3 linked regions of the Anolis sagrei genome follow. The protein of the gene in region 1 interacts with the protein of each later gene in a pairwise test. Links are inferred from orthologs where the notes say so. Each region holds a gene or a part of one and is shown in the gene's direction. Other genes may lie near its edges.

Region 1 (7,450 bases):
AAACAGTAAGATAAGCTTGTGGCATTGCATCAAGATAACAATCCTTCAGAGCAACAGAACGCACATAGTCTTTGTATGCAATCATGCCAACACAGATGGCATTGCTTCTCCAACTTCCATACTCAGAGAGCAAAAGAGGGAGTGCATCATGTATCCCAATAGGCACCTAGTTATACCCAACCAGGAGTGGCCCAGACTTACTGACTTTAATGAGAACATTCATGTAACCTGCATATAATAACCACCAGAATGAATCCTTTTTCTCTTAACACACTTGGTGCAGGGAAGGTAGTAATCCCCCACAAAACTTACTTGCTGGCTTTACAGAAACCTTAACACACTTCAGGCACATTTCAGAGATGGAGAGGCATGGAGCCCATCACATGATGTTGAACTACTTTCAGCTGCCATGTGTTCCATCCATCATTGAAATGAGCCTGAAGAAAGGAGCTCCCACCATGGCTGAGTAAAAGTCTTTTGAGCTGCTGTTGTGATTTGATCCACTTTTTAAGGCTAAAACACATGGAATAGAAACTATACTCCCCTGTCGTGTTTCATTGCTGCAAAATGAGAGACAGCTATTGCAGACAGAGAGCAATGGAGAGCAATGTTTGGCTGGGGAGGTGGTGGCAGAAGCAGCAGAGAAAAAAGAGAAAGAGAAAAAGAGAGATTTTTCGGCTGATAGAGAAGAGGGGGGAAACAGAGAGAATTTGACAAGCCTTCCCCAGTGTGATGAATGTGAAGGCAAGCTACAAGGGGTCAAGAACACTTCAAGAAAACAATGGGATGGGAAGGAGTAAAAGTTTCATGGAGTGATTTGCAATTGAAAGGCTTTATTGCAATCGCTATAGGGACAGACCTCCACTCTTCTCTACAAATATGTAAGTCCATAAGATGGAAGTCCAAAGTTGATAGGAACTCAGAGTTTGTTATCTGTTTGAGCAACCTCATAGGGAAGCTTTGTCATATTTTATTATTGGAAAAAGTAAGCTTATTACAAGCTGAACCACTGAATATGCTGGCTGGCGTATTTGGGAATTGTCGCTCAAAAAAAATTGAACACTTCTGACATTTGGAGGATGATGAGAAAAGCAACCAAAGTCTTACTCATTCTTGCTCTATGCATGCTAATTAAGGCCAAATAATAGCACATCCGAATAGAGCTTTTGTCTTAAAGGTTAAGGAGATCAGGGCTCCCTCTGACAGTCAGCATGCTCCCAATCTGATCGGATTGTCTTTAGCAAACTAAGGACATTATCTCAAGCACATCAGGTAACATCACACATGGAGACAGATGGAACTTCCAGATACATGTAGAGACAATTAAAAAAGAAACCAATATGTTGGCTTACCATTAAAATTGTGTAAGTATATGTGGAATGAGTTTGTACAATTCCCTCTTAAAAGAGGTGATTTTGCCAAGTGCTCAGTAGCTCAGTTATGGCTGGAACTCACATTCTGGGCCACAGAACCCAGAGAGCCTCCAAACAGTTTCCAACAGGAGCATAAAAGAGGTTCTCTGTCCACAGCAGAATGAGCCACTACTTACTAAGGCAAGCATGGGTTAGTGCACAACTCTCTTAAAAATAAACGGAGATCTCACACTATATTGTTATATTGTCTGCTTTAACTACCATGACAACTTTCTTTCCCATTCTGAGCTTTGTAGTTTTGTGAGGTTCAAGAAGTCTCTGTCTGAGAATTCTAAATGCCCTTTCCTAAATGCAAAATCTTGGGATTTAGCAAATTCTAGGATTTCATATAATGTTGTAATGGTTGTTGAAGGGAATTATAGCTCTATAACAATGCAGAGTGATAGCTCTCTGAGTGGGTGTACCATACAACAAAACACATCCCAAGACTTCAGATATGCCACCTTTCTTCAATTCCCAGACTTCCAGAACCTGCAAAAATACATTTTCCAAACTCTGGAACCTATCATTGTGAAGAAAAGGTTGGGACAAGTTATAGGACCCAACCCTTCCACACAGCCCTATATCCTAGAATATCAAGGCAGAAAATTCCACAACATCTGCTTTGAACTGGCTTATCTGAGTCCATAGTTGAACTGGCTTATCTGAGTGCATGTTCTGGGATATAGGGTATGTGGAAGGGCTCTTAGGTAGCAGCTTCAAGAAGAGGATTGTTCCCATCATGTTCCTTCACTGACCAGGCTACATTCTTTATCTTGAGCACAGAGATGTAGTGGTGAGAGAAGACAATGTCAGATTTCATCTTATCAATCTCATCTTTACCTCCCCTTTTGTCTAACAATTTTAGACCCCTCACCTCCTCCCCCCTCCCCCACCCTCAGGGAACAGTACTTATCATTATGCAGATATTAATTTAATTGAACAATCGTGAAAAGAGAATGGTCCAGCTCTTTATATCTTTTGTTTCATTTGACTTTTTCTATCACTTTTTCCCATTTCTGAACCCAGGTCTTCTTAAATCTGCTTATTGTATATTTGGTTCTTCTTTCATAGATGTAATCCTGAAGCATATAATCTGCTAAATATTCACACCATTTTTTAACTTTCTACTTTCTATGGTCTTTCCAACCCAAAGCCACAGTTGCTTGGGTGATCTTTCATTTCTAATCCTCTTGTGCTTCTTCAATTTTTTCCCCTTGATATACACACATACACAAAGCCAATAAGGAATAAAAGATTAAATAGCAGTACTGAGTGCGTATGGAGGCCTTGACCTCTTTAAACATTCCTATGAAGACCCTATTCAAGCATTCCTTTATTTGGCATTTATCAATATACCAGGAATATGCCTTTTGACTGATAGAGCTCAGACCATCACCTGGAAGGTACCCAAACACTCCTTTCTCCTCGGTATCTTCCCTTTGTATATGTGGTTTACTAAACACAGTTTTTTTGCCTTACTCATAAGCACACTATTATTCACAGGAAGACTTATCATGACTCGAAGAAATGCCATCTGAGCAAAGCTACAATAGAGCAACTCCCATTAATATAATGGTGAATAACAGGCAAGCTGGGAGAAGCAACAGCAATTTGACTTTGCCTGAGTCTAGTGGGAAGGGCAGGACTCTGGCCTCTTAACTGCAAGCAAATTTTGCATTTTGAATTTAAGGCACTTCCAGATAGCTTCAAAATGCAAGTTTAAAAACTGGGGAAAAAATCCTGGATCTGAGAGCAAGTTCACACACAGACCTGTCAGTCCCAGGATATGGTCCCTCACCATCCTTATGCCTTCCTTTGAAGCAAATCAAGATGGGGGAGGGAAGAGGAACATCCAGTAGAAGTTTTTGAAAAAAGAAATTCTCTCAGAAATGTGCTGGATCTCATATGCACACATGCAGAGATCTACTACACACAAGCAGATTTCTAATCTCTCTTTTCACCCAACTGTTAATTCAAGCTTTGTTTAATATTATAAGAAAGAAAGGCATGGTTGCAGAGAGTTCTAATTGCTTTCTGATTGTGCTTCCTGTTAGCTACCCATGTGTCCATGACTCAATTTTTGACAGTTTTGGGCTTTTAAAACACATGTGCTGGAGCAGTCCACACAGGGGATGGGAAGGAAGTCATGTGTTTTCCATGATTGCAGAGATATACTGTTACACATAGATTTGCATTTTTTGGGCAGAATCGGGTTTTAAGCTCACTTTTTAAACACGTGCTTTTCAGCTGTTAATCCGATTCTCTCTGCACTTTCTACAAACATCTTTTAGACATCCCACTCCCTTTTATCCCAGTTACTTCCAGGTTTTACTGCATGTGTAGAAGGCCCCTTAGTTTGCATCATTTGAAGAAGGACAAAAGGGAAAAGTGGGAGGAGAAGTCAGAAACTGGAACATTTTCAAAGCAACTGCGAAAGTGGGCTGACAGAGAATTAATCAAAACTGTCGCAGTCAAATCAGGAGTGTATATCATTGTTGGAATTGAAGTGTAGATCATTTTCTGAATGCAGGATGGTGGAAGGCAGGAAAAACAGAAACCAATTGGTGGTCAACATTTATAATAATTATTTCTGTGGGTAGTAGTATGCAGAATACCCCAGTTAGCATGGCTACTGGGCATTCTGGAGTTGCAGTCCTGAAAAAAATCAGTCTAAGCTTTGTATAGGACTCACTGGTTGTAAAAATGTTCTAGAGAGAAACATGCTTAGCCCTGTGGAAGATACGGAATGGCCTCACGAATAAAGGGAGCAAAGTTGTTCTTGCTCCCATCACAAATGCATGGCCCCATTAACAAATGATTCCTTAAAAGGCCGTCTCCTGCGGAGATGCTCTGGTTCTTATCGCTCAGGATGGCTGCTTCTTTGGAGATAACTGTATTTATAGCTCATCTGGCAAGGGAACTCTTGACAGTCTAATTGCTAAATACATAGTTTGGGTAATCCAATAAAGCAGTAAGCCTCCGTGCCGGCCTTTGTCTCGCCTCACTCCCTGACTGGAACACACAGACGCCATCCAGCAAGGTAAGCGCAAAAAGGATAGTGCTTTCATGTTCAGGAGCCATTCCTTTTGTCACCCTGCAGTGCTGTTTTGGGGAGAACCTGAAGAGTCCTAAAGGAATGTTGAGGATTTCCTTTCTTCTGTTATTTGCAAGGAACATCAGCATACACCACAGAGTTTAAAGAGAACCCACACCTCACACCAGGTAATCAAGAGCCGGTGTTCCCTTTCATCAGAGGTTATCTTTACATGCTTATATGTTGTTAAAATGTCAAGAGAGTTCAGTGTCTTACTATCTTTTCACTGGATAAGGGAAGAGAATATAGGGTGACATTGCTATTGTGTGCCTTGAAGACATTTGTGACTTATGGAAAGCCTAAGGCAAATCTATCAGGAGCTTTTCTTGGACTGTGTGACTCAGCCAAGGCTGCCCAGTGGGTTTCCAAGGCTGAGCAAAGAACCAAAGTGGTTTCTAGAGTCTCCTTCTTTGGTGGTCTTTAAGTAGAGACTAGATGGCCATCAAGGGTGATCTGATTGTGTTTTCCTGCAAGGCATGAGGTTGGACTGTATGGCCTTTGGGTCTCTTCCAGTTCAATGATTTAATGCTCAAACCACTACACTACAATAGTACAATCTTATTCCAGTCTACCACACAAAAAGTTCAATGGGACAGCAGGTAGATTTGCTATTCCAATTATTTAACATGATTTGTCTTGAAATGCATTGTCTTTTTCATTTATCACAAAGAGAGAGAGACTGCCTGTCATTTGGGGGTTCCTTAATATAACTGTATGATCTGACTTCTGTATGTAGATCTGGAAAAAATATTTTTAATTTTCAAAAGACACCCCTCCCAATTGCTTGTTTTAAAAACTGAGAATTATCTTATCGTCTTTGAGGCTACAATTTTGCATACTAAAGTGGAACACCTGCAAGTAAGAAATGTTCCCTGTTTAAATAAACTCTATATTTTTCTAGAAAAGTATGTGGGAATCTTTAACTTTGTGGAATTTCAGCAATCCTCCTGTGTGTGCTTGACAACTTGTGGAGTTTATCACATTTGTCATGGGTTTTTTTCTTCTTCTCTCAAAGTAAACAATTACAAAGGAGAAGTCTTTTGCGATATGTGGAGATGGAATTATATTGTTTTGGGGAAATGATTTCAGATATTTATATGTTCCTTTGGCAGCTGTGTATTTGGAAACGGGGTCATTAAAAGGTAGCAAAACTCTATATAGCCTTTTGTATTCTTTTCTTGTTGTTTTTCTGAGGCCTTAGATGATCCTGGCTATATATTTTGAAGTAGTGAAGACTATGCTAAAGGGAGACAGTGGGCTCAGTAATCTGTGTGAGACTACATAACCATCATGCGAAGTAGCAATTACAGCTGCCAAACACCCATTATAAAGCGTTCATCGCACCAAATTGCCTTTTAAAGTGATCTCAAGGGAGTGCTGTGTTTTGTTTGCAAAGCATGCATACACAAGGGAGTTAGAGGGATTGTATATGAATTTTTGTATATTGTGTAAATTAATATGGGCAATTGTTTTCGTTTACTGTTTAGTTTCTATTACACCCCAAAGGCTGAAGATCAGTGAATGGGAAAATATGTTATTTTAGTTTGAGGAGCCAACATGCAACCTAACCATTTCCAAACCTATGTCCAGTATAGTGGTTCAAAATAGAAGTATCATATGTACTCATATGTAAGTCTATTTCATGTATAAATCGAGGGAAGGTTTTGGGTTACGGTTATAAATGAGTATATACAATAAGTTAAATAGTTTAGAAGTAAATCTTTGGGACAATTGATGTTAACAGATTTGCCCCAAGGAACTCGGAAATTATTGTTTCCATTCAATGTTTGATGTTTTGTCTTATGTCTGCTATAACAGGCTGTGCTTTTCATTTAATTTTAGTTGTTAAGTCATAATTTGTGTTTATATGCTGGGTTGGTTAAATTTTGTTAGTGTGGATGTATTGTTGTATTCGGGCATTGAATGTTTGCCTTTTATGCTTGGAATCCACCCTGAGTCCCTCCGGGAAGATAGAGTGGAATATAAATTATTATTATTATTATTATTATTATTATTATTATTATTATTATTATGTGTCCCTGATGAATGTCACTTTCTTTTGATCTTTGTCTGATCCATGACCCAAATGCCATTACATTAATTGGACATGCGGATGGAAAACTATCTGGACAGGAATGACAGCCCTATTCTCTCTCTCCCTCTCTCTCTTTCACACACACACACACACAGAGAGAGAGAGAGAGAGAGAGAGAACCAATATTCTAGTTGCAAAGCAGTTGTTGTTGTTATATCTTAATCTGGGAGTTGGCAACTGTAGAAGGCTATGTGGAAATATTAGCTCCCAGGAAACTTTGGAGCCACATTTTCCTCCCTGAACCCCTTGCAGAAATCATATTTCTTGCCCCATCTGTCAAAACACACTCTAGGAACAAAAAAAAACCTAGTGAAAACGCCCACTCTTGTAGAGGGCATTTGAAGGCATTTCGACTCCCAAAACTAAATTTTTATACCCATGATGCTAGGAGGTCCACAAAATTGCTTGGAGTTTCTTATACCCTTTGCAGACCTTCTGCTTTTTTCTTACATCCTTATTAGAACTTCTGATTTTGTACAGGGCAAATAATTATTAGCGGAATGTTTCTTTTTAAAAGTCTGCCTCTATATTGACCTGCTGTACTATCAATCTCCTCCATAGTCCAGGAGTACTGCTTTGCCTGACAGTGATGATTAGCTAAGTGAAACCTGGCTGAGCCAGTTTCATGGTTCATAAGTTTTAGAAATTGAGTATGAATGAAGAGTGTGGTTTCCCCTTTATAATACAAATATGATAACTGGAATTTATTTATAGGCTGCCTCTTCTGTTATCACACCCAGAATGGCAGGGACCGGGCAGGTGCATTTTTGGAAAATCTTACGATCATGTACGATTTCATGTTCATAGAATCATAGAACTGAAAGAGATCTCATGGGCCATCCAGTC
Region 2 (7,128 bases), on another chromosome or scaffold:
AAAGTATAATTTGGGGATGCAACAAAGGTAGAAGTATTTGACATTCATAAGAGAGACCAGCCAAGGAAACCCACTGGATGATTTGGAAAAGTCATGATCTCTCAGCTTCAGATGAGGGCAAAGTGAAACCCTGAATACATGAAAAGCTGAATAAATCTTGCCATGGAAACCTGTGATAAGACCGCTTTAGGGTTGTCATAAATTGGAAATGACTTGAAGGCATACAACAAATGAGAGATGGAAAAGTAGATTGGGGTCATAGGAGAGTAAGAGGAAACTGGGAAAACAATGTAACTGGAGGGTTTTAGGCATAGATTGTAGGAAGGTAATATCTGAGGGGCACGGGACTGGTAATTGTTGTGGGTTTGTTATGTTAATTTGATAGTTTAATGTTCTCTCTTTCCTTCTCTGTTAGAAAAGTTCCTCTTAGAAGCAAGGTAGAATATAAGATTTTAAAAGAAATAAACCAATAAACAAAATAAATTAAAAAACAGGGAGACGCAAGAAAGAGATATGGAGGGCAAGATTCATCTTGAAAGTGTGGCATTGTAAGAAACAAAAAGGTTTTTAAAGAACTGGGGAATAAAGCATTGAGAGCAATACATGAAGGAAGAAAAGAGTGAAGAGAAATAATTATTGCAATAAATTGGAGGAACAGGTCAGAGGTCATCTTTCAAAGACAAAGCCGCAATCTATATGACTCTGACTATTCTGCTAGGGACCTAATATTGTCACTTGCAAATGCCAGGGATTCTAGCCACAGCCTTCAGTGTGATATATTCCAATTTTATTGCCAGTATTTCTTGTTCCATTTTATATTGGACAGACTGGAATAAATGGACACAAGCAGACATCAGAAACAATTATATATAATTCAAAATAATATTCACAACTCAGTGGGAGAAAACCTCAGAGTCCCATTACATTTGCCACTGTTATCAAGGTGGCTATCATTAAACAAAAGAACTTCAAAGAACTTCAAAGTACAAAAAGACCCCTCAAAGGGAGATTCCAAAAGAACAAGTATTCATCATGAGGTTCACCTCTATCACCTCTCATTTGATTAGAGACTCAGGCTTTTTATCTCCCTGCATGTGTTAATCTGCTCATCAAAGAAATGGTTTCTGTGTTACCACTTAAATACTGTTTGTTAATGGCAACTTTTAAGGTAATAATGATAACTGCTCATAATATATTTAAAATCCGTAATGCTAACTGCTGTTTGTTAATGGCTATTTTTCATCCCTATTATTTGCTAATGTACTTCTGCTTTTTAATTCCTTCCTATCCCACTGGTTACATCCCCTGTCCACCCGCTCGGTTGCCCACCTCAACATATATTTAATAATCTACCCACTGAGCCATTAATTCACTCATCTGATGAAGTGGGAGGCATGAAAACTTATGGCACATAAAATGTTTTCAAGCGCCATGAGACTTTTGTGGCTAAAAAGGGAGCGTGAAGGGGACATTTCATTTAGAAGCAGGAAGTTTGTGAAGTTGGGCTGAGAATTTTGATCACATGGGAATTTGGGGGGCTGTTTTAATGCCAGAAGGCTGCCCTTGACAAATGTATCCTTCTGGAATACAACACCCAGAACCCCCACCCAGCATACTTTGTTGAAAAAGTGGGGTATATCCTAAAGCAATGGTTCTCAACCTTATTTTGACCAGGGACCACTTTGACCAGAGACTATCCTCCAACATTAGTACCAAAAAGGTTACGAAATGGTTTTTTGGTCAACTTTAGATTCAGTTTGCTTATTTGGGGTGCTGATTCAAAAAACTGCATTGGATAGACCACATCAGCTCTGGTTTCTGATACAGAACATATGCCATCCAGTAGTCACCATCTGCTCACCCACAGAAAACCATATTTAATAATCTCTAGAGCTGATGTGGTAGTAGTAATATTTTGTGGATGGTCAGCCTTTCCCCTCCCAACATCCCCGTTGCCTCAGCACTATAAGATGGTTCTGCAAGACCAGTCACTCTTGTTGCTGAGTGGTTTCGAGGCAACGGAGTAGTAATGGTGAGGCCACGGACCATATTTTCATGCTTGCAGACCAGGGCCTCTCCAGATGATCTGACAAATCGTGTGGGCTCATATATGGAGATGCGGTCACGCAGGTAGGCGGGTCCCAAACTGTTTAGGGCTTTGTAGGTAAGCACCTGCACCTTGAATTGGGACTGGAAAATGAATGGCAGCCAATGGAGCTCCTTAAACAAGAGGGTTGACCTCTTTCTGTAAGGAGCACCAGTTAACCACCTGGCCGCCGCCCGTTGTACCAGTTGGAATTTCTGAGCCGTTTTCAAGGGCAGCCCCACATAGAGCGCATTGCAGTAGTTCAATCTGGAGGTGACCAAGGCATGGACCACCCTGGCCAGATCAGCCTTCATGAGGTCGCAGTTGGCGCATGAGTCTCAGTTGTGCAAAAGCCCTCCCGGCCACCGCCGACTCCTGAGCTTCAAGCGTAAGTGATGAATCCAAGAGGACACCCAAACTGCGGACCTGTGACTTCAGGGGGAGTGTAACCCTGTCCAGCACAGGTTGCCACCCTATACCCCGATCCAGTTTACGATCAACCCAGGCCCGTAGCCAGGATTTTGATCCGGGGGGGGGGGGGGGGCTGAGTTTGTTTTTTTGGGGGGGGCTGAGTCTGAGTGAAAGAGGGTCTACCCTAGCAAACCTTTTGTATTGTTACCCCAATACCCCCATGCATATGGGATATATTGAGCACGGTGATCAGATCATGATATGAATAAACATAACAGTTTAAATAATGCACCAGTAAGGCCTTTTCGCGAACCACCATGAGAATTTCAGGGGGGGGGGGCTGAAGCCCCTCAAGCCCCCCCCCCCCCCCCCCGGCTACATGCCTGACTCGACCAGGAGGACCTCTGTCTTGTCGGGATTGATCTTCAGCTTGTTCATCCTCATCCAGACAGCCACAGCAGCCAGGCACTCGTCCAGCACCCGAGGGGCTTCCTTGGAGTTAGGTGGAAAAGAGTAGTAGAGTTGTGCGTCATCTGCATAGAGCTGGCACCCAACTCCAAAACTCCGGATGACCTCTCCCAGTGGTTTCATGTAGATGTTAAAAAGCCATCTGTCAGGGGTGATTTGAATGCAATATTCCTGCTTCTTGGCAGGGGGTTGGACTGGATGGCCCATGAGGTCTCTTTCCAACTCTATGTTTCTATGATTCTTCTGCAGGCTAAACATGCCCAGCTCTTTAAGCTGCTCCTCATAGGGCTTGTTCTCCAGACCCTTGATCATTTTAGTCGCCCTCCTCTGGACACATTCCAGCTTGTCAATATCTCTCTTCAATTGTGGTGCCCAGAATTGGACACAGTATTCCAGGTGTGCTCTAATCAAGGCAGAACAGAGGGCTTTTAAACAGAGGCTGGATGGCCATCTGTCAGGGGTGATTTGAATGCAATATTCCTGCTTCTTGGCAGGGGGTTGGGCTGGATGGCCCACGAGGTCTCTTCCAACTCTTTGATTCTATGATTCTATAGGCCAAAATCCTATTGGCTTGTTTTTACAAGAAGCAATATGTGTGTTTGTGTCTACACATAAATATCACACAAACACACCAATATATACTGTTGTAATGATGTTATTCAATAAAAAATATCGTTTTAATATTTCAAAAATCGAAATGACTTCTTGCCTCAAACCTTCCCCTCACCATGCGCTTCTTCTTCTCCTCTCACCTCAAACCTCCTTCAAAACACTCCCGCCTCGCCCGACGGGGACGAAACCACGCCCCTTTTCGGCCTTGGCTCCGCCCACACCTGCCGGGCATTCCACTTTCCCAACCGTTCTTTCCAGGCTCCACCTCCTCCTGCACCCTCGTCCAATCAGAAGACCCGGGCTGTAAACACCCCAGCCGGGGCGAGGCGAAGTTGGGTGGGGGCGGTCTCGCGCGCCCCCTCCCCTCGCGGCCGAGGCAGCCAATCAGAGCTCCGAGGGGCGTGGCTTGTGTCCATGGGGACCGGGGCTGGGCTCGGCTCAGTCAGGGAAGGTCTCGGCTCGCCCCCATTGTTCGCGCGGAGCCAGTCGGAGCGGAGCCAGAGGCGAGCAGGGCGGTGGCGACGGGGCCGGCAGGTGGGTGCCAAGCGGGGGGCTTGGAAGGGGGGCAGCCCTCACGAAGGAGGGGGTCGTGAGGCTTTCCGAGGGGGGTTTCCTGTGGAGAAGGCAGCCCCTGAAGGAGGGGAACCCATTCCCTGTTTCCGGAAGTGGCCAGGACTGTCCCAGAGACAACAACAAGTAACACCTGGGGACCGGAAAGTGCTGCTCAAGGCATTCAGGGTCATAACCCCAAACTCTTCTCTTTTCTCTGCCTCAGCCTATAGGATGTGGAGACCCTATACAATAGGAACAAGAGCTCCTGGGGTCGAATTGGGCGTGGTGGGAGAAGGAAAGGAAGGAACAGAACCCTCAGTAGGAGTGGGTTAATGTTAGGGAAATGTCCAAAATAGTATTTTAAATACAAGACAGGATACTAAACTGAGTAGTCGACTCACAGCAAGCAGGAGGTGTAGTGTTGTGACTGTGAAACAGGCATGGGCAAACTTCGGCCCTCCAGGTGTTTTGGATTTCAACTCTCACAATTCCTAACAGCCGGTAGGCTGTTAGGAATTGTGGGAGTTGAAATCCAAAACACCTGGAGGGCCGAAGTTTGCCCGCCGGCTGTTATGAATTGTGGGAGTTGAAATCCAAAACACCTGGAGGGCCGAAGTTTGCCCATGCCTGCTGTAAAATATTTACTGAACCAAAGATGCAGACTTTCAATTCTTACAGTTTCAAAAAGTTTATTTAAAATATATTATTTATCTAAAACATTTATATTTCGCCCTTCTCACCCCAAAGGGGACTCAGGGCGGAGCACAGCATATATATATATATAAGGTGAACATTCAATGCCTAGACAAGGATTCATATACACATACATAAACATTAAAAAACATTTATCATAATATTAAAATTCACCATTTTAAACCGTCTTGGTCATCTGCGTCAAATCTAATCCACCTGGTAATTTTTCCTATTGCTACTTTATTGTCCTTTTTCGAACGCTTGGTCCCACAGCCAAGTTTTTACCATCTTTTTTTTTCAATATTTTTTTATTAAGTTATTATACATATGCCTAAAAGAGAAAGGTTTACAAGGAAAGTGGGAGAACATTTAGATATAGGATAGTAGGAAATTTTTAGAATCCGTATATATAAAAAAAAATATCAAAAAAATAGAGAAATAATAATACTACAAAATAAAAAGGTTTTGTTGACTTCCATTCTGTGTCTTCGCTTACAAATTTTTCAGTTTAAGTTTTCTCTTCATATGTTGTTAAGATCTTTCCTTTAGATGGTTTTCAAATAGTGACCAATTTGTATCCTTTATTGGTTTTCCCATGTTTTTCTTCAAAAAATAGGTTGATTTGTCTATGTCCTTAATCTCCTGTAGTTTGACTATCCAGTCTTCTGCCTCCGGAGTTTTGCCGATTTTCCAAATTCTTGCATAAGATATCCTTGCTGCCGTTGAGATATAAGTAAATAAAATATCAATATTTAAGTCTGAAGAGAATTCTGAGTCCATAATATATTTAATAAGTAATATTCTGATTTACTTGGGAATTGTATTCCCAGTATTTTTTTTTGTGTCTCTTGGTTAATATTTTTCCAGTAATTTTGAGCTTTCTTACACAACCACCACATATGAAAAAAGCTGCCCTCTGCCTCGTGACATTTCCAACATTTCTTGTCCATATTTTTATACATTGATCCTAATTTTTTGGGTGTAATGTACCATTGATGGAACATCTTAAGCCAATTTTCTTTTAAGTCCATTGCATAGTTCAACAGTGGAACTCTCTGCCTCAGGGTATGGTGGAAGCTACTTTCTTGGAAATTTTTAAACAGAGCCCAGATGACCATCTATCAGGGATACTGATTGTGCTTTTCCTGCATGGCAGGGGGTTGGGCTAGATGGTCTATGTGGTCTCTTCCAACTCTATTACTCTGTGATTTCTTGATAGAAAATATTGGGCCTAATTTTCTCTCTTCCATTCTTCTTTATTTTTATTTATTAAAATAAGCATAAAATGTAATTTTTTGTTGCATACAGTGATAATATTGAGACATCTATTATATTTTCAAGCTGCTAAGTGTTCGTTAGCATTTCTAACACATTATCTATAATTAAGGACTCTCTGGCATCTGTTTGAGTAGGACAGGTAAGAGAGTCAGAGATTCTAAGTTAATATCAGTTTTCTCTTTGCTTGCAGCCTTATAGGATCCTCTGTGGATATTTCTACAACCAGCTTAGCTTTATTTTATTGTTGAGTTGCTGGATTGCCAGCTCCCATTCTTTAATGACTTACACTATATAAATCCTTTTGGTTTCTAGACCATTGCTACATCAAACTATATTTTCACATCTGAAAACCTATTGTTTTTAGTTATCACGCAACTGTTTGTGTAGAAAAGGTTCGGTCTAAGCTTCTCTCTAACCCTATTACTTCTAAGATTCAAACAAAATGGAAAAAATTCTAAATACTACATTTTCTCAATCATGCAGAGTAGAGAGGGTTCTGAACGAAAGGGTGAAAAAGAAGTGTGACCCGAGGCCTTAAAATGAGAGGACATGCATCCTAAAGAACTGCCATTCTATTTCATCAATTAGAATGGGGGAGAGAGAAAGCGAGCGAGAGAAAAACAGATGCATCAACAGCCTAGCCTAAGTTATCTAGTTGCTTCTCATTGAGGACTGCAGACTTGAGCAGTGTGTGGTTGAATTCCAACAGCTAAAGAGTAGACAACCTTACAATACGTCTGGAGGAAGTGAGGGGGCATTTCTTCTGGGAGAGAATTTTGACATCCCTCGTTGGGTTAAAGAGCTAATAGCTCCTTGCCCTTTAATCAAAGGTCTCAAGTCTTTGCAGTTTGGGGGTTTCCCTTGTCAGGGTAAATTACAATGATGAACAGAAGGGCTTGCATTCAAGGTGGGTCTGAAGAAGGATGTAGGGAGGGGTAAGGGTTTATTAAGACAGTGGGAAGGGAGTGGCAACAAAGATCCCACCGGAGAATAGGGAACAAGGTGCCCAAAAGGGAGCAGAAGGGTAA
Region 3 (7,918 bases), on another chromosome or scaffold:
AACTTGGAAGCCCTGGCCCTTGAAGGTTCAAATTGAAGATCAGCTGTTACCCTAGTGCTATGGACTTTGAAGAGGCATGAATAGAGGACAAAAGGAAGGAATGTTTCAAGAGGAAGGTGCATCAAGCAAACCACCTTCCATCTGGAAATCTATGTCCTCAATGTGATAATCCACATGGATTCTGGATAGGTCCCACTGCCAAGACTCTATCTCTGGAAGACAATCATATTCGGCCACAAGCAATCACTCATGATGATAATGATATAACAATATTGCTGCAGAAAGAAACCAGAAGAAAATATTCTGTTATGAAAAGTTCGTATGGATTGAAAATTTGTTGGCCCACAAATTCATAAAGATGATCACTGACCAGTTTCTATAGGCTCTAACCCAGACCTTAGAGGTTGAAGACTCAGGCTGGATCTACACTGCCCTCTATGCAAACATCTGACCCCAGATTATCTGCTTTTTCCCAGATTATTTGGCAATGTAAACTCATATAATCCAGTTTAAAGTAGATAATCTGGGATCTGATTCTGGGATTTAGGCCCCTTCTACACTGCTATATATAAAATCCAGATTATCTGTATTGAACTGGATTATATGGCAGTGTAGAAGGGGCCATAGACTAGTTTGGCAACATCCATTCCACAGGTTGAGCTCCCATGCCCATGTTTGTCAAAGTATTATATGGCATTGTAGAAGGAGGGCATAGAGCAGGTTAAATTCAGCCTTAAACTGGACCTACGCTGCCCTTTGTCCTGGGATCTGATCCCAGACTATCTGAGTCTACACTTCCATATAATCCAGTTCAAAGCAGATAATCTGGATTTTATATGGTAGAAGGGACCTAAGACTAGTTTTGCAGCATCCATTCCACAGGTTGAGCTCCTATGCCTGTGCTTGTCAAAATATCTAATGTGAAGCAATGTTTTTCCTAATGTGACTACTATGGGCCCTTCCACACAGTCACATAATCCATAATATAATGGCAGAAAACCCCGCAATATTTGCTTTGAACTGGGTTATCTGAGTCCACACTGCCATATATTCCAGTTCAAAGAAGATAATGTAGGATTTTATTTAGATGTGTGGAAGGGCCACTGATATTCCAGTCCAAAATTCATTGAATCATGGCAGCTGATGGCCCACTGATAGGTGTCACTAGTCCTTCTACTTTCTGGGTTCTAGTGCTAGTGCTCAGTTTAGTACTATGTGCATACCTTAGTAATAATTCTGGTAACAAATGTTACATCTAATAATAACAACAACAACAACAACAACAGAAGAAGAACAGGACCTCTGAGCTCACAGTATGTCTTTTGTATTCTCAAAAGTATTTGGTGCCCTCTAGAGTTGTAAGCGCTCCATGCAGTCATGCCGGCCACATGACCTTGGAGATGTCTACAGACAACGCTGGCTCTTCGGCTTAGAAATGGAGATGAGCACCACACCTGAGTCAGACACGACTGGACTTAATGTCAGGGGAAAACCTTTACCTTTACCTAAGAGTTGCAAGGCATTTTCTCTGAAACAGCACAAGAGGATGGTATCTAGTTTAGTTGTAATTCCTCCACATTCGTAGTTTTGACTTTTGCTAACAGCTGATATGCTGTTAGGAATTGTGGGCGTTGAAGTCCAAAACACCTGGAGGGCCAAAATTTGCCCATGCCTGATCTACACTATACTTACTTATTTACTTAGGCGATCCCTCGTTGTCCGAGTAGGACTGTCTTCCAAGATCGGTGTACTGGTAGATAACTGTGGAGCCCTATTCCTAATCTGCATGTTCTCTTCCAATGAGGGCACTGGTTTCCAGGTAGAAGGCGGTCCCGGTCAGGGTTGGCTTGACGTACCTTCCTCTTGGCATTTTTTTCTATACCAGTTTTTAAGGTTGGCTTTGAGCCCATCTTTAAATCTTTTTTCCTGCCCACCAGCGTTCTGTTTTCTGGTCTTGAGTTCAGAGTAGAGCAACTGCTTTGGGAGACGGTGGTTGGGCATCCAGACAACGTGGCCAGTCCAGCGGAGTTGAAGGCGGAGGACCATCACTTCAGTGCTGGTGGTCTTTGCTTCTTCCAGCACACTGACATTTGTCCGCTTGTCTTCCCAATAGATTTGCAGGATTTTTCGGAGGCAGTGCTGATGGAATTGTTCCAGAAGTTGCATGTGACATCTGTAGACTGTCCATGTCTCACAAGCATATAGCAGGGTTGGGAGGACAATCGCTTTATAAACAAGCACCTTGGTATCCCTACGGATGTCTCAGTCTTTAAACACTCTCTGCTTCATTCGGAAAAAAGCTGCACTCACAGAGCTCAGGCGGTGTTGTATTTCAGTGTCAATGTTGACTTTTGTGGAGAGGTGGCTGCCAAGGTAGAGAAAATGGTCAACATTTTCTAATGTTACACCATTAAGCTGTATTTCTGGCATTGCAGAGAGATTGGCTGGTGACTGCTGGAACAGCACTTTGGTTTTCTCGATGTTCAATAACAGGCCGAGCTTCTCGTATGCTTCTGCAAAGGTGTTTAGAGTGGTTTGTAGGTCTTCTTCTGAATGTGCACAGACGACATTGTCATCAGCATATTCGAGTTCTATAACAGTTGTAACTTTGGTTTTGGCTTTCAGTCTGCTGAGGTTACATAGCTTGCCATCTGTTCAATAGATGATTTCCACTCCGGTAGGAAGCTTCCCATCAACAAGGTGAAGTATCATAGCGATGAAGATGGAGAATAAAGTTGGGGCAATAACACATCCCTGTTTAACACCTGATTCCACCTTAAATGGGTCACTTTGGGAGCCATTGCTGACCAAGAATGTTGCCATCATGTCATCATGGAGGAGCCGCAGGATGTTCACAAATTTGTTGTTGTTGGTTGTTCATTCGTTCAGTCGTTTCCGACTCTTCATGACCTCATGGACCAGCCCACGCCAGAGCTGCCTGTCGGCCGTCACCACCCCCAGCTCCTTCAAGGTCAGTCCAGTCACTTCAAGGATGCCATCCATCCATCTTGCCCTTGGTCGGCCTCTCTTCCTTTTGCCTTCCACTTTCCCCAGCATAATTGTTTTCTCTAGGCTTTGCTGTCTCCTCATGATGTGGCCAAAGTACTTCAGCTTTGTCTCTAGTATCCTTCCCTCCAATGAGCAGTCGGGCTTTATTTCCTGGAGGATGGATGGGTTGGATCTTCTCGCAGTCCAAGGCACTCTCAGTACTTTTCCTCCAACACCACAGCTCAAAAGCATCTCTCTCAGGGAATACCATGGCTTTGACTATGCGGATCTTCGTTGCCAGTATGATGTCTCTACTCTTTACTGTTTTATCGAGACTGGACATTGCTCTCCTCCCAAGAAGTAAGCGTCTTCTGATTTCCTGGCCACAGTCTGCATCTGCAGTAATCTTTGCGCGTAGAAATACAAAGTCTGTCATGGCCTCCACATTTTCTCCCTCTATTTTCCAGTTGTCAGTCATTCTTGTTGCCATAGTCTTGGTTTTTTTGAGGTTTAGCTGCAACCCAGCATTTGTGCTTTCTTCTTTCACCTTGATTAGAAGGCTCCTCAGCTCCTCCTCGCTTTCGGCCATCAGAGTGGTGTCATCTGCATATCTGAGGTTGTTAATGTTTCTTCCAGCAATTTTCACCCCAGCTTTGCATTCATCAAGCCCCGCACATCGCATGATGTGTTCTGCATACAAATTAAAAAGGTTGGGTGAGAGGATGCAGCCTTGCCGTACGCCTTTCCCAATCTTGAACCAGTCTGTTGTTCCGTGGTCAGTTCTTACTGTTGCTACTTGGTCCTTGTACAGATTCCTCAGGAGAGAGACAAGGTGGCTTGGGATGCCCATCCCACCCAGAACTTGCCACAATTTATTATGATCCACACAGTCAAAGGCTTTAGAAGAGTCAATGAAGCAGAAATAGATGTTTTTCTGAAACTCCCTGCCTTTCTCCATTATCCAGCAGATACTGGCAATCTGGTCAAAATAAATAACAAAATTAATTTGTTAGGGCACCTGATTTTTTTGGAGGATGGTCCAGAGAGCACCGCGATTCACTGTGTTGAATGCCTTTACAAGGTCAATGAATGCCATGATCTACACTATAGAATGAATGCAGTTTGATACCAGTTTCAATGCTATGGGATCCTGGGAATTGTAGTTTGGTGAAGAACCATCACTCTTTGGCAGTGAAGATGAAAAACCCAGTAAAACTACAACTCCTGGAGTCCCATGGTATTGAGCATTGGCAACTAAAGCGGTGTCAAGCTGCATTCATTCAAGTGTGGACGACTTCCTAAAATGCTGAAGGATTCCCAGACCCAGGTGAGTCCAGGTGGTTCTTGGGGGCGGAGAGAAGTCAACCTAATTTTTCTATTGGCTGCTTGTCAAAGACTTCTCCTGCCTCCGACCAATCATAGGCCTCTGAAAATAAATCCCGCCCCTTCATTAAGCCCTGCGCGTCGGGATGTTTGTTTGTTTCTTCTCTCTTCTCCCTCGCAATCCTTTCCTATCAATCCGCGGGAGGCGTGACGTCGTTCTCAACGCCCATTGGCGAGAGTTCAAATCAATCTCCAGTTCCGCGCAAACCGATTGGGCCTCGACCTGGCGTCCGTCATTGTCAAAACTCTTCATTTCTATTGGTTCAACCGGGACACTCGAAAAAGAAGGCGGCGATTGGCGGGAAGGGATGTCAATCGTGCCGAAGGCGGCAACGTGAGTCAAGATGATGGAAGCTGATTGGTTACTCTCTAAAAATGCAGAGCAGGGATTGGCCACCCGTCAGAGGAATAGGCGGGCCTTGCAGGGCGGTGCCCGGGCTGCTGAGGAGGAGGAAGATGGCGCCGTGAGGGGGGTCCGAGCTGCTGCCGCCTCCTCTTCCCCGCCGGTAAGTGAGCCTAGCGGGGCGGGCTTCAGGCCCTGAGGAGGGGAAAGCGGTCCCGAGAAGTGGGAGTGGAGTCGCGAAGGGGAAAAAGGAGGGCTCCGTGGAAAGGGAGGGGGGCTCCGAGGGAGGGGGCCCGGCGCGCGCGAAGGGGGCTGAAGCAACTGGGACCGGAAGGGGGCGGGGCCAAGCGGAGAGCCCGCCTCCTCGGGGACCCGTCAGAATCAGGCGGGCTTCGGGCAACCAGCGTGCCTAGGGTTCAAAGGGCAGCGAAGGGATCCCGCTCAAGGCTGATATCCTGTAGGGCCAGGTTCCAGAAGCATTCTCTCCTGACGCTTCACCTGCATCTATGGCAGGCATCCTCAGAGGTTGTGAGGTCTGCTGGAAACTAGGAAAATGGGGTTTATATATCTATGGAATGACCAGGGTGGGAGAAAGAACTCTTGTCTGTTGGAGGTAGGTATGAATGTTTCAATTGGCCACCTTCATTATTTATTTATTTACTGTATTTGTATAATAATAATAATAATAATAACAACAACACTTTATTTGTACCCCGCTACCATCTCCCCACAGCCCGGTGGCGCAGTGGGTTAAAGCACTGAGCTGCTGAGCTTGTTGACCAAAAGGTCGCAGGTTCGATTCCAGGGAGCGGCATGAGGTTCAGCTGTCAGCCCTAGCTTCTGCCAACCTAGCAGTTCAAAAACATGCAAATGTGAGTAGATCAATAGGTACCGCTCTGGCGGGAAGGTAACGGCGCTCCATACGGTCATGCTAGCCACATGGCCTTGGAGGTGTCTATGGACAACGCTGGATCTTCGGCTTAGAAATGGAGATTAGCACCACACCCCAGAGTCAGACATGACTGGACTTAATGTCAGGGGACAACCTTTACCCTACCCTTTCCCCAAGGGACTCGGTGCGGCTTACATGAGGCCGAGCCCAAACACAACAATGCAAGCAATAATCACAACAATACAAGCAATTAAAATAAAACATACACGATAAACATATAACATTATCAATAAGACAACATAAAATTTAAAACTATGCCACCTTTCTCAGCCCGTAGGTGATTCAAGGCGGTTAACAGGGCAAAATTCAATGCTTACAATGTCATAAATACAATTAAAAACATAACATATAATAAACACCAACAAATCTATATAAATAAAAATGTAATGTTGGTTTGTGGGATTAACAACTCAAAAGCCACTGGACGAATTGACACCAAATTTGGACACAAGACACCTAACAATCCAGTGTATGTCCTTCACTCAAAAAATTGATTTTGTCATTTGGGAGTTGTAGTTGCTGGGATTTATAGTTAAACTACAATCAAACAGCATTCCGAACTCCACCAATGATGGAATTTGGCCACACTTAACACACAGGGCTCCCATGACAGAAAAAACTGGAAGGGTTTAATGGGCATTGGCCTTGGGTTTGGGAGTTATAGTTCACCTACATCCAGAGAGCACAAATGTGGGCTCAAATAATGATGGATCTGGACCAAATTTGGCATGAATATTCCATATGCTCAAATATGAACACAGATGGAGTTTGGGGGACATAGACATTGACATTTGGGAGTTTTAGTTACTGGGATTTATAGTTCACCTACAATAAAAGAGCAGTCTGAATCCCAACAACAACAGAATTGGGGCGAACTTTCCACACAGAACCCCCATGACCAACAGAAAATACTTAAGGCCATCCAGTCCAACTCCCTTCACCAGGGGAAGAAAATATAATCAAAGTCCTCCTGACAAAGAGCCATAGATATAGATAGATATATTTGATTCACACACAGGGAGATACAGTATCATAGATCTGAAAGGGACCTCTAAAGAAGGACAATTATATGTTGCATGTTCCAGAGTAGGCAAACCAGACAATTTCCCTATCAACACTGACAAAGAAACAGCAAAAAAATACTTTTTACCCACAAGCATAAAGACGTTACATATATTAGAAATGAACACTTCCTCATTACTTTATTTTCCAGATCACCAGACTGGGCCACAGCAACACGTGGCAGGGGACGGCTAGTCTATATAAATAAAAATGTAATGTTCATTTGTGGGATTAACATAACTAAAAAACTACTGGACGAATTGACACTAAATTTGGACACAATACACCTATCAGGCCAATGAGTGACCATCACTCATAAAAACACTGGAAAATAATAATAATAAACTGGAAAAGCTGACACGATATGAGGATTTAAAGAGCCAGTAAAGGTGGTTCCAGTGGTGATCAGCACACTGGGTGCAGTGCCTAAAGACCTTGGCCTGCACTTAAACACAATCGACACTGACAAAATTACCAGCTGCAGAAGGCCACCTTACTGGGATCTGCACGCATTATTTGCCGATACATCACACAGTCCTATTCACTTGGGAAGTGTCCGACCTGTGATCCAATTCAACAGCCAGCAGATTATCTGCTGTGGACTCATCTTGTTGTGTTCCAAATAATAATAATAATTATTATTATTATTATTATTTATACCCTGCCACCATCTCCCCGATGGGGACTCGGGGCGGCTTACATGAGGCCAAGCCCAACAATGCAGTACAATAAATGAAATAAAAAACAACAAAATCAACAACATAATAAATTACATAAAACATAAGAATACAGCAAACAATATAAAATTACAATAAAATCATTCATAACACAGGAACAGTGAGCGGGCTTCATGTACAGAGTGAAATACTAAAGCTAAAAACACGGGGTGAGATAGAGATGGAGTAGATTGTTTGTGAGGGAAAACCTCTTCAGGAATGGGGTCGAGAAGGGACTTCGTGCGGGAGAGGAGGTGTACAAATGTTGAGGGATAATAGCAATATAAGATTGCATGGTTAATCTCCAAAAGCGCAACGGAAAAGCCAGGTTTTGAGATTCTTCTTAAAACTTTCTAAAGTGGGAGCTTGCCTAATCTCACCAGGCAATGTATTCCATAGTCGGGGAGCCACTGAGGAGAAAACCCTCTCCCTTGTTCCTACAAGGCAGGCCTGAGATAACAGCGGGGGTGAAAG

Evidence for each region. The genes of interacting proteins can lie anywhere in the genome.
Region 2: the proteins of FHL2 (region 1) and JUP interact in binary tests that used the Homo sapiens proteins (3 or more experiments, as listed by UniProt). The two-hybrid records come from large-scale screens. The link is inferred for Anolis sagrei from reciprocal best matches to the Homo sapiens genes FHL2 and JUP.
Region 3: the proteins of FHL2 (region 1) and SP2 interact in binary tests that used the Homo sapiens proteins (3 or more experiments, as listed by UniProt). The two-hybrid records come from large-scale screens. The link is inferred for Anolis sagrei from reciprocal best matches to the Homo sapiens genes FHL2 and SP2.

Annotation. Positions count from the first base shown.
Region 1 is NC_090023.1:105,899,728-105,907,177, reverse strand, and holds the start of FHL2 (four and a half LIM domains protein 2), read left to right. Parts: upstream 1-4,350; 5' UTR 4,351-4,455; intron 4,456-4,463; exon of another isoform or gene 4,464-4,637; intron 4,638-7,450. UniProt on the Homo sapiens protein: May function as a molecular transmitter linking various signaling pathways to transcriptional regulation. Negatively regulates the transcriptional repressor E4F1 and may function in cell growth.
Region 2 is NC_090026.1:38,501,944-38,509,071, reverse strand, and holds the start of JUP (junction plakoglobin), read left to right. Parts: upstream 1-3,994; 5' UTR 3,995-4,111; intron 4,112-7,128. UniProt on the Homo sapiens protein: Common junctional plaque protein. The membrane-associated plaques are architectural elements in an important strategic position to influence the arrangement and function of both the cytoskeleton and the cells within the tissue.
Region 3 is NC_090026.1:34,176,664-34,184,581, reverse strand, and holds the start of SP2 (transcription factor Sp2), read left to right. Parts: upstream 1-4,784; 5' UTR 4,785-4,877; intron 4,878-7,918. UniProt on the Homo sapiens protein: Binds to GC box promoters elements and selectively activates mRNA synthesis from genes that contain functional recognition sites.